3 linked regions of the Oryctolagus cuniculus genome follow. The protein of the gene in region 1 binds, or shares a complex with, the protein of each later gene. Links are inferred from orthologs where the notes say so. Each region holds a gene or a part of one and is shown on either strand. Other genes may lie near its edges.

Evidence for each region. The genes of interacting proteins can lie anywhere in the genome.
Region 2: the proteins of ITSN1 (region 1) and FCHSD2 are in contact, whole or in part, in a crystal structure (PDB 6GBU), measured with the Homo sapiens proteins. The link is inferred for Oryctolagus cuniculus from reciprocal best matches to the Homo sapiens genes ITSN1 and FCHSD2. Residues at the interface, in NP_003015.2 of Homo sapiens: Pro1076, Ile1078, Gly1098, Leu1100, Leu1102, Gln1117, Ala1118, Arg1119, Gly1120, Lys1121, Lys1122, Arg1123, Leu1136, Ser1137, Pro1138; in NP_055639.2 of Homo sapiens: Tyr576, Gln581, Thr582, Asp584, Glu585, Gln602, Asp603, Asp604, Asp605, Gly606, Phe607, Val618, Pro620, Val622, Leu623.
Region 3: the proteins of ITSN1 (region 1) and AP2A2 are in contact, whole or in part, in a crystal structure (PDB 3HS8), measured with the Mus musculus proteins. The link is inferred for Oryctolagus cuniculus from reciprocal best matches to the Homo sapiens genes ITSN1 and AP2A2. Residues at the interface, in NP_034717.2 of Mus musculus: Asn841, Trp843, Ala844, Phe846, Ser847, Ser848; in XP_006536218.1 of Mus musculus: Glu308, Gly320, Val321, Glu324, Gln329, Gly331, Leu332, Lys333, Phe346, Gly348, Asn349, Lys350, Gly386, Ala387, Gln388.

What each region holds. Positions count from the first base shown.
Region 1 is NC_091435.1:11,213,116-11,216,615, forward strand, and holds part of ITSN1 (intersectin-1), read right to left. Parts: intron 486-3,500; coding exon 280-485; intron 1-279. UniProt on the Homo sapiens protein: Adapter protein that provides a link between the endocytic membrane traffic and the actin assembly machinery. Acts as a guanine nucleotide exchange factor (GEF) for CDC42, and thereby stimulates actin nucleation mediated by WASL and the ARP2/3 complex.
Region 2 is NC_091432.1:64,227,226-64,230,725, reverse strand, and holds part of FCHSD2 (F-BAR and double SH3 domains protein 2), read left to right. Parts: intron 1-2,976; coding exon 2,977-3,060; intron 3,061-3,180; coding exon 3,181-3,358; intron 3,359-3,500. UniProt on the Homo sapiens protein: Adapter protein that plays a role in endocytosis via clathrin-coated pits. Contributes to the internalization of cell surface receptors, such as integrin ITGB1 and transferrin receptor.
Region 3 is NC_091432.1:473,252-476,751, forward strand, and holds part of AP2A2 (AP-2 complex subunit alpha-2), read left to right. Parts: intron 1-474; coding exon 475-612; intron 613-2,096; coding exon 2,097-2,279; intron 2,280-2,642; coding exon 2,643-2,740; intron 2,741-3,500. UniProt on the Homo sapiens protein: Component of the adaptor protein complex 2 (AP-2). Adaptor protein complexes function in protein transport via transport vesicles in different membrane traffic pathways.

The DNA of each region.
Region 1 (3,500 bases):
CAACCGAATGCTTCAGGTCTCAGAGTACAATTCCTTCCCGCATAAGTAATCAAGGAAAACAAGATGGACAGGCTTCCACAGAGGAAGAAAAAATGAACACTTATTTGCAAGAGGCTCCATTTTTATTTCATATTCTGCAAATTCTGCAGGTGAATGATCCAGAAGATAGAATAAAATAATCCTGCAACTCCTATCATATGTGAATCTTAACAAGCACAAACAACAATTTAATGCCCAATAACATTTTCATCAAATAGAAGCAGATAAACACAAAAATACCTTGTAGATTTCCTTATGGGCCCTGAAATGAGTTTCACGTAAGACTTGGGGAACCAACCCTTCTGACCTTGAACTTCTCCAAACCACCACATGTCTTGCTGTTCCAGGACGGTGATGACATCATTTTTGTTAAAATTTAAATGGTTGTCTTTTTTGGCTCTCCAAGGATACAGGGCTTGTGCTTGTAGGCCCTCCACCTTTTCACCCTTGTGTGGAATAACATAAAGGACCTCTCATTACATTGTGATTTGTGACCAATTAAGGCAGAAGCGAACACTGGCACCTCTTCTCCAAAAGCCGTGGGCACACACGGCTACAAAGGACCCTGTCTCAGCATGGCCTGAGTGCTAGATGCTCACTGTTTATCTCCAGGAGTGGAGGCAAAAACCTGACAGCCTATTCACAAAGCCATTGTCTGGACATCTAGAACTCTCTATTCAAACAAGCCAGGGGGCCATATTTATTCGGTTGCATCTGGTTGTGTGCCTTTTACATTCTGAGTCTATTTTCACTCTTAAGAGGTCCCGGGTACCCCCCACCCCCATTTTCAATCTGATTTGGGTTTTCAGTGGAGGAGAAATGTCATGAAATTTCATGAGATAATTAACTGATAGTTCAGGTTAGGTGGACACAGGGACAAAGGCCCTATACTGGATCATGCTTGCTTTAGCTCCTTTTTAGAGAAACAGGAGTTTGAATAGCAGAAATTCATTGTAATTGCCATTTCTTGTACATCTATATGCAAATTAATGTGAGATTATAAAGCTGAACAAAACACCATCTCTGCCTCCCCCAAAAAACTTTAGGGTAATGTACTTTATTAGCCAAAGTGCAATGTGAAAAAATGGACAGTATGGTATCATTAGCAAGCAACTCACAGCTCAGGGAGAAGAAACAGATAAAGACAACCAAGTACATCACTCGGCAGGATGAAATAAGCTACTAAAAGGTTGCAGGTATTCAACGTGGGAGCAGGGAGAAGGGAAGGATGGAACCTGCCCGGGGAGATCAGGGCACATTTCACAGAGGACGAGGCAGCATTTGAGCTGAGCCTTGCAGGATGAGGATTTTGATAGCTAAGGCTTCGGAGGAAGGGTACTCCAGGCCGAGGGCACAGCACAGGGCAAGGCTTTGAGGTGGTACACTGCAAAGGATCCGGGAAGAGGAGCACAATCCGGGGCTGCGGGTGGCCTAGTCTCAGGGAAGGGTGTGGTAGGAGGTGAGGCTGGAAAGGCAGGGGGAGGCATTGATTATCCTTTTGAAAACCACAGCATAAGACCATTAACACATCAGAAAGCACACAAAACAATGTCAGTTTCCAACTGTATCTGCAAATGGACAGAAACTCAGGAAAATGCCCAGAGAGAGTTAATTCAGAGCCAATTTATACTTGCCTTCTAGAGTTATACTGACATTAAGCTGTGATTATGTGAGGTCAATGGAGGATTCACAGCTGGTCCAATAGGCTCAGCATCTACGCTGGCAGCCTCTAAAACCTGTTCTTCTTAGGTTGTTGCTTTCTTAGACCCAACACCCTCACTTGCTCCATTTCAGCTGTACTTTCCCCCCAGACCCTCAGAGCACTGAGAAGGTTTCTCTGGATTTCAGACATCCCCAGGATCAAATATTCTTTGCCTTCTAATTTTGACCTTTCACAGGAACCTCATGCCTGCGTGGCTGCTGATCCCATGGTTCTTCTGCCTGTCTAACCCTCTTGGTCACTTGTCCCTGCCTGGGCGCTATTGACTCCAGCCTGGTCTGGGTCTGAATCCCAGATCTCTCTCTAATTTTGTGATGCCAACAACTGCTTAATTTCTTTAAACTTCAGTTCGCACATCTGTGAGACAGGGATGCTCGTTAATTAAGTTGGGCTAAACCTATGCACAGCACTGCTAAGACAGTAGTAGTAACAGCAGTAGATGCTATTTTACTAATTCCCAGCTATGAGATATTGCCAAAGAAAGCAGAGACAACATGCAAAGATGAGTTACGGAATCAGGTTAAGTTCAGCCATGTCATTTCTTGTTCTTCTTTGTCAAATTCCTAATTTACCTACTCCTAAACCCAGTCTACACTCCACAGGCCCCCAGGAGTCTGTCCTCACCGACAGTGACACCAGGTAGCCCAACCAGACCCTCTTTCTCCACTGCATCTTCTCCCATTTCGCTTCCCCCTCCTCATCTGGAAGAAAACCAGTCCCGTCTGTCTTTGCTGTGTGTTTCATGTTGGACCCACCTTACACCAATTACATTTCCTGATACTTGAGTTTTTGATGCCTTTCCCTACTGGTGACAAGCTTTCTTGTGTCTTGTGTCTTGTGCCTTTCCCATCACCCTGCCTCCATTCTGCGCCCTCTCTCATTTCCCCCTGTCCTGCTCTTCCAACCTGGTTTCATCCTACCCTATCTCAGGTCATGAAGACATTTTACTTGCTGCACTGAATGGTCTACTCCTTGCCTTGACCATAGCCCATAATAATAAGAACAACCTCTCTCTTTCTGGACACAATTCCCACCTCCACAAGTATTCTTATCCCCATACCTCCTCCATCACACAGTCATATTTACGGGACACATGACCCGTGCTATACACTGAGCTGAGAGAGGTGCAACACCTCCATGACACAGCTCCTCTTCTTCCCCTGTTACCTCTCCTTTATGACCTCACACGGGTCCTCGGATTTGTGTTCTCCAGGGAGGCGGCTCCCCTATACTCATATAATGCAGGTCTTGTCCTCTCTTCCACCCCCCAGCTCTGTGCTCCAACAGCATGCCTGGCAGGACTACCTGCATGTCCTGTTTCCACCTTAACCTTAACATGTGCAGAACCTACTCCTGCCTCTAACTAATAATTGATTTTTCTTTCTCTGTTCCTTGTTTCTTTACCTTCCAGGTGGAACCCCCTTCTCACTCCCAGACCCCCTTCCTTTCCTGTTGGCTGGTACGGGCCCGGAGAGGCCATTCTGCTGTTTCTCCTCTGCAGCCTCCCTCATGTGTGCTCCTCTTCTACACCCACTGCTTCCACCCTGCTCGGGACTATGAACCCACCTGGGCCCAGGTCTTCCCTGGTGCTCATCACCTGCACCCTGAACAACAGTGATGCTGCCCACTGGTCCTCACTCTCATCTCCCTGCATCATCGTCTCCAGCTGAATCTGCCCAGTGTCTGCCGCAGTCTGGGTGCTCCCAGACAGAAACTGCCCGGACCCTCTAAGAGCCCCCCG
Region 2 (3,500 bases), on another chromosome or scaffold:
TTTCCAAACCTGATTTGATCTAATAGTTCTTAATCTCTGTCACCCCGTCCTACTGTCCAGTTAACATTTTACTCACCACAAAGTCAGTGTTTCACTTCCCCAGTTCACCGCGTTCCCGCACTCCCCTCAGCCAGTGCTATTGAGCCCCCCCCCAAAACATACGTTAAATTTCTTCACTTTTACTATCAACACTGCTACCGTGTTGGTCTAGGCCATTGCTTTGATAACTGTAAAGGAAGCGGGGGGAGTACTTATAATTGAGTCTTTCTCTTTCATATTTGCCTCTCAATAGCCCTTTTTCTGCACTGCAGCCAGAATTATCTTTAACACATGAAGGATGTTATTTTATTCCCCTTCCTCCCCCTCCTGAGACCCTCGTTAAGCTTTCCATCACATGTAGGAAAAACCCTGAGAACTCCTCCCTGCAGCCCATAGTGTGCAGCTGACTGGTCCCCTGCTAGTCCAGGTTTGTGTCCGCCCATTCCCTTACCCCAGCCACGAACTCCACATGGGCCACTCTTGCTGCCTTGTAGTCTTCAGAGGTGCCAGAGTCCTTCTTGACGTGGTTGCCCTTGCTGCTCCCTCTCCGTGGTCTACGGGGCTACACGGCTAGAGTGCCCTGGCAGTCAGTGTCAGAGGGGTCTTCAAAGCCTTAGAAGAATGGAAGGAGGAGGAAGCAACCAGCCCACTGTGGGAGTTTTGGGGAAACCTATGTGCTGGACCTCACCCCATGCATAATATTAATAGCTATTATTGTTTATTTCTAATCTCTTCCGTAACCCAATAAGGAGTGGGGGAGGCATATGGCCTAGAGTTTAAGATACTAGTAAGAGTACCCAGGTCCCATATTGTTTAGTACCTGGGTTTGATGCCCAGTTCTAGGCCCTGATTCAAGCTTCCTGATAATGTGGACCCTGGAAGACAGCGGTGATGCTCAGGTGGTTGGAAACTGGGATTAAGTTCCTGGTCCTGGCTCTGGCCTTGCCCAGCCCTGGCCTTGCAAACATTTGGGAAGTGAATCTGGATGGAAGCTCGCTCTCTCGCTCTCTGCCTCTCAAATTAGAACAAAACAAACCCTACAGGACAATATTATCAGACAAACCGCTCACTCAACAGATACTTGAGTATCTACCGTGTACTAGTGTTGTGCTCTTTTCTAGGTTCTGGGATATAACATTGATCAAAACAAAACAAAAAACAAACAAACAAAAAACCTCTGCTTTCATGGAGCTTATATTCTAATGGAAAAAAGAAAATTGAGTTTCAAAGATGTCTTATAGTTGCTTTCTCCTAGAAACAAACTAAAGCTGGCTCTAACCTCACAGAAATGTTATCCACTCATCCTATGGGAAAGAGGGAGAGGGTGTGCTGGATAGGAGGGCAGCCTGGTGGAAGCATAGAGGCCAGATATGCTCAGAGAACAAGGAGTGGAGCACCAGGCGACTCATGAGGACCAAACTCTGTAGGATCTTGGTTGCCATTACAAGGACTTGACCTTGTAGAGTGGAAGAATTGGTCATCATGCGTGGGGACGGTCTAGTCAAGCTGGGGTACACCAAACAACTTTCATGGGCCTCTGTGACTTTTGTGTGAGGACAGCAATCCATTTAAATATATTTTAATTATATAATTTTAATTATATAATATATTTAAATAAGACCTGTATTAAATATTTAAACATATTTAAATAAGACCTGTATCTCTCCTGCTTTGTGCTCACACACATTATGGACTGGTCATGTTGATACTTGTTAAGTTTTTCCCTGAAATTAGGAAAGCATTGCCTTTTGCTGGTCTATGCAAGGCATACTATGGCTTCAGAGTAGCAAAGAAATTTTCCTGGAAAAGCTGTCAAGAATAAGTGGACAGGTTTTTCCTCCCTCATATTTTTAGATAAGAGGTAATTTACTTAAAAATCTGGTTCTGGAATATTCTGATTGGTCGGCCTAAGGCTTCATCCAGAATCTAGGTTTTGAGTAAATGTTTTAATAATGTTCATTAAGTTATTCTTAGAAGTGACCTATTTTCTTGCTTTATTTTTGTTTGTGTAACGTGAAGGTATTTTATTTACACTGAGATTGTCAGTTTGAAAGACTGTACAGTCTTAGGTCATGGTTTGAACTGATCTTGGACTTGGGAAAGCTGTCAGGACTATTTACTAGAGAGCCGCGAGATGCATCCCGCCCCTGCCTTGGGAAGCAGAACTTAACGGATTCTCCAGCCTCTCTGCTGAGCCTCTGACAGTTTCTTCTCGGGTTTAGCGGTCTCGTGGGCAACATCGGGGTGGCTGGTACTAGCAGATTCCTGCTGTCAGGGCTAATTGCACCACCACAATATGTGTGTTTAGATAAGCCCAGTCTCCACACTGAAGTCAGAGCACAATAAATCCAAAGCTTGATTGCATTCAGTCACTTCCTGTCCCACAATTTCATTCTTTTGCGCACGTGTTCCAGTGACTCTGGATCAGCCCCAGGCTGTGCTCAAGCCATCATCTAATCCATGGACATTGCTCTCTGCACTCTCACAGCATGCACCTCCATGCAGCCCGCTGGTCACAGGTCCAGTTCGGCGCCATCTATTTTGCCTGTGCTTCCCACGTCATCATGGCTCTGTGTTTCCATCCCACGTTGACTTCCCCGTCTTCCAGGGAGTGGCAGGAAATGCAGGCATCACGTTGATCGACTTACCAGTAGACACAAGAGCTGGAACCAAGGGCCTCGACTTCCAGCGTGGTGCTCTGTTCACCAAACCTGATTGCCTCTTGAAGATTCAGTTTCTTCAGTTTTTGTCGTGATTTTATTTTGCTCCGTTTTTGAAAGTAAAACTTCACTTCATTATGATAGTTTTACAGCATTAAAATTTTTCTGTTTCTCAAAATCATTTCAGTATTTTGATCCCCAGTTTTTGTTGTGATCAGCGCACACCTGCTCCTTATCTAACCTTTTTAATTTTGTCCATGACCATCCCACACTGCAGGCTTCTCAACCAGATGAGTTGACCATTGAGGAGCATGAGGTGTTAGAAGTGATTGAAGATGGAGATATGGAAGACTGGGTGAAGGTATATTCCTTTGCTCATATCGCCCCTTCTTGTGACATTTCTAGGAATTTGCTTTGGTTCTTGTCCTGCCCTGTCCAGTTCATGTGTGCAAACCTGTCTTGTGACGTGTCTCTTACCCAGGCTCGGAATAAAGTTGGCCAGGTGGGTTATGTGCCAGAGAAGTACCTGCAGTTCCCCACCTCGAACAGCCTGCTGAGCATGCTGCAGTCCCTGGCCGCCTTGGACAGCCGCTCGCACACATCCAGCAACTCCACAGAAGCGGAGCTCGTCTCGGGCAGCCTCAACGGAGACGCCAGCGGTAAAGACTGAGCGTGGCACTCTCTGTTTGTCACCTTCGACCTAAACCGTGTTACCCTGCAGGTTCAAAAGCACAGCTTTATTCCTACCCCACAACATGTTTTCTGGTATTTGGCCCTGTTAGTCCTAGATAGTGGAACCCT
Region 3 (3,500 bases), on another chromosome or scaffold:
TCTGGTTCTGTTGTGTTTCTGGTCCCTCCTGGGTCAGACACTGGACAGGGCTCGCTGGTGAGCTGGGTCCCACCACCGAGCAGGTGCTCCTCAGGGGGGGATCTGGTCACAATGACCTGGGTGGGGCCTGGAGCCTGCCCTGGGACCAGCTCTGTGACCACATAGTGCAGAGACCCTCCCCCGACCCCCACCAGAGCCAGGGCTGGGGCCGCAGAAGCGCTGGCCCTGGAGGCAGGTCATGGTGGGACAGAGTCTCGGCTGTCCGGACCACTTGGTCCAAGTGCACGGAGTGAGAGGGGGCCAGTAAATCGAGGGCAGGGGCCTCGGGGTGACCACAGCTTGCTGGGCTCCTGGAGGAGGTGGTGAGTCAGGAGGGTCTAGACTGGGGGGGCGTAGGGGCGGTCGGCGATGTCCTTCGGGGGCGTGGCCTCTGAGCCTCTGCTCCTGCGCCCTTGACTCTGCCCTTGTCCCCAGACGGAGCGGGATGTGAGCGTGCGGCAGCGAGCCGTGGACCTGCTGTACGCCATGTGTGACCGCAGCAACGCCCAGCAGATCGTGGCCGAGATGCTGAGCTACCTGGAGACGGCCGACTACTCCATCCGAGAGGAGATCGTGAGTGGCCTGGGCCAGGCGGGCCGCAGCCAACCGTGTGCTGAGTTCCTTAAGCAGCGCTGTCAGTCTGCAGCGTGACTTCGGGCTCCCTCCCGGCAGCTGTCCTGGGCGCCGGCCACTTCTGCCACTCGGGTCCGAACGGGGCTGCCGTGGTAGATGCCGGGTGTGTCTGTCACAGTCGCGGCCTGGGGTCTTCCTTGTCTCTGGCGACCCAGAGGCCGTGCGCCGTGGTTTGTGTGTGCACTCTGTGCCCTATGCCGTTCCTATCCTTGGAGCAGATGCACACGCCAGGCAGCTCAAGGTGAAGACTGAGTGAGGTGGGGTCTGAAAGGCAGGGCAGGCGTGTGCAGGGTGGCGCCAGCTCCCCCGTGGGCTCCCCGGTTCTGACAGTGGACGCTGGGCTGTCAGTGGGGAGCCTGCTGTGCCGTCCTGGTTTAAGAGCGGTCAGTGCTGCCGGAGCCGCAGCCCCTGTCCACTACGGGAGAAGCATCGCCTCATTTGTCTCTTTGGATGCCAGTGTGAGAGCCTTTGACTGGGAAAGCCGGGTGGGACTCAGCCTCAGGTCACTGTGGGAGTGAGGGCCTCGGTGCCCAGGGCATCGTGGCCACATTGGCTGAGCTCCAGCGGGAGCCTGCGGCTTCTGAGAGCAGGGATCCGGGAGCGACTCTCACGCTGCGGGAGGGGTGCGTCGGGAGGGGTGGGACGTGGAGCCAGGGGCTGGGCTGCGCCCAAGCAGGAGGCTCCAGGACAGGTGGGGTGTGGGGCGTGGCCTGGAGGCCTGTGTTGGGCAGCGTGGGCTCTGGGGCTGGTTGTCCCGGGGGTATTTTTAAAGGGTTTTGTTATTTGAGAGACAAAGGGTGCTCCTTTTCACCAGTTCAGTCCCCAAATGCCCACAACAGCCAGGGCTGGCCAGGCCAAAGCCGGGGACTGGGGACCTAGCCTGGCGGTCTCACGCGTGGATCCTGGGCCATCCCGTGCTGCATGATCAGGAACCGCGGTGGCACTGACCCCCGGCCCCTGGTGCTGGCGTCTCAACAGCTCTAAGTTGTCTGCACTTGACTGCTTTAGAGTGATGTGTTGTTGATTAGTCGTGGAGGTTTTCAAGTCTTACTTGCGTGTAAATGGCACGTGACAGTGCTTGGTGAGTTTCATTCAGTGCCGGGATGTGCCAGGCGTGTTAAAGCATGTGCTGTGCCGTGGGGGCCAGAAGTAGGCGTGGCCTCAGATCTGTGTGTGCTGTGGGGGTGGCTGGAGGCCAGGTCCCCGTGGGGCTAAGGAGGAGGTGGTGTCAGGTGCGGCTGTGTCGTCCTTTGCCGTTGCGGCCTTTCCTGCCATGCGTGCCCCGTCACGCCAGCGAGGCGTGTCTCCTGGCTCAGTCTGCTGTCTGCACGCCTCCAGACCCCTGCCGAGACCACGTGGTCCTGAAGGCCCGGCTGGACGCTGGGGGTCCGCAGGCACCTGCCCTGACCTGCCCACCCCCGCAGGTGCTGAAGGTGGCCATCCTGGCCGAGAAGTACGCCGTGGACTACACGTGGTATGTGGACACCATCCTGAACCTGATCCGCATCGCGGGCGACTACGTGAGTGAGGAGGTGTGGTACCGCGTCATCCAGATCGTCATCAACCGCGACGATGTGCAGGGCTACGCCGCCAAGACCGTGTTCGAGGTGAGGCCCGTGCCGCGCCGGGGCTGGGTGCAGGAGGCCGCCGCTCGCCTCCCTTCTCGCTCCACCACGTTCTGGACGTCGGCTCGTCCTCCGCTTCTTCCCACCCTGGTCCCCCAGCTGCTGGCGAGGCGCTGTACGTGCTCCCCACGCCTTGCAGTGGGCCCGCGTGGCGGCCTGGGTCCCGCACTCTAGCGTCAGGCTGTTGGGAGCTTGGGGCGTGAGTCCTCTCCGAGTACGCCCTCCAGGAAGGTGGTCTGAGCTCTGTGCGTCTGTCCGGTCGTTGTGGCGGCCTCTGTGGCTGCCCCGTCCCTGTCCCTGTGCCATGTGGAGCTCCTGCCCCAGCTCACTGGCTGTGGTTTCCAGGCCCTGCAGGCCCCGGCGTGCCACGAGAACCTGGTCAAAGTGGGCGGCTACATCCTGGGGGAGTTCGGAAACCTGATCGCTGGGGACCCCAGATCCAGGTAAGGGCCCTCGGCCCAGGGGCTGTGCTGCCGGCGCCCCCGGCCAGCCTGGGAGTCCCAACACCCATCTCCCTTGGGATTCACATCTTTGTATTTTCCTTGTAGTTGGGAGCGCAGGGATGGGATTGCATGGCCAAGATTGCGAGGGGGAGGGGAGGATGGAGTCCGAGCTGGAGCCAGACACATGTGCAGCAAAGAGGCTCCTGGTGCAGAAGCCCCACCCCGTAGACAGCATGCGGCCTCCGTGTTCCTGGTGCAGAAGTCCCCCCCCCCCCCCCAATTATAGACAGCGTGTGGCCTCCATGCCTGGTGTAGAAGCCCCCCCCCCCCCACTGTAGACAGCGTGCAGCCTCCATGCCTGGTGTAGAAGCCCCCCCCCCCCCCCCCCCGTAGACAGTGTGTGGCCTCCATGCCTGGTGTAGAAGCCCCCCCCTGTAGACAGCGTGTGGCCTCTGTGCCTGGTGTAGAAGCCCCCCCCCCCCCACAATTGTAGACAGCGTGCGGCCTCCATGCCTGGTGTAGAAGCCCCCCCCCCCCCCCCCCGTAGACAGTGTGTGGCCTCCATGCCTGGTGTAGAAGCACCCCCCCCCCCCCCCCCGTAGACAGTGTGTGGCCTCCATGCCTGGTGTAGAAGCACCCCCCCTCCCTGTAGACAGCGTGCAGCCTCCATGCCTGGTGTAGAAGCCCCCCCCGTAGACAGCGTGTGGCCTCCATGCCTGGTGTAGAAGCCCCCCACCATTGTAGACAGCGTGCGGCCTCC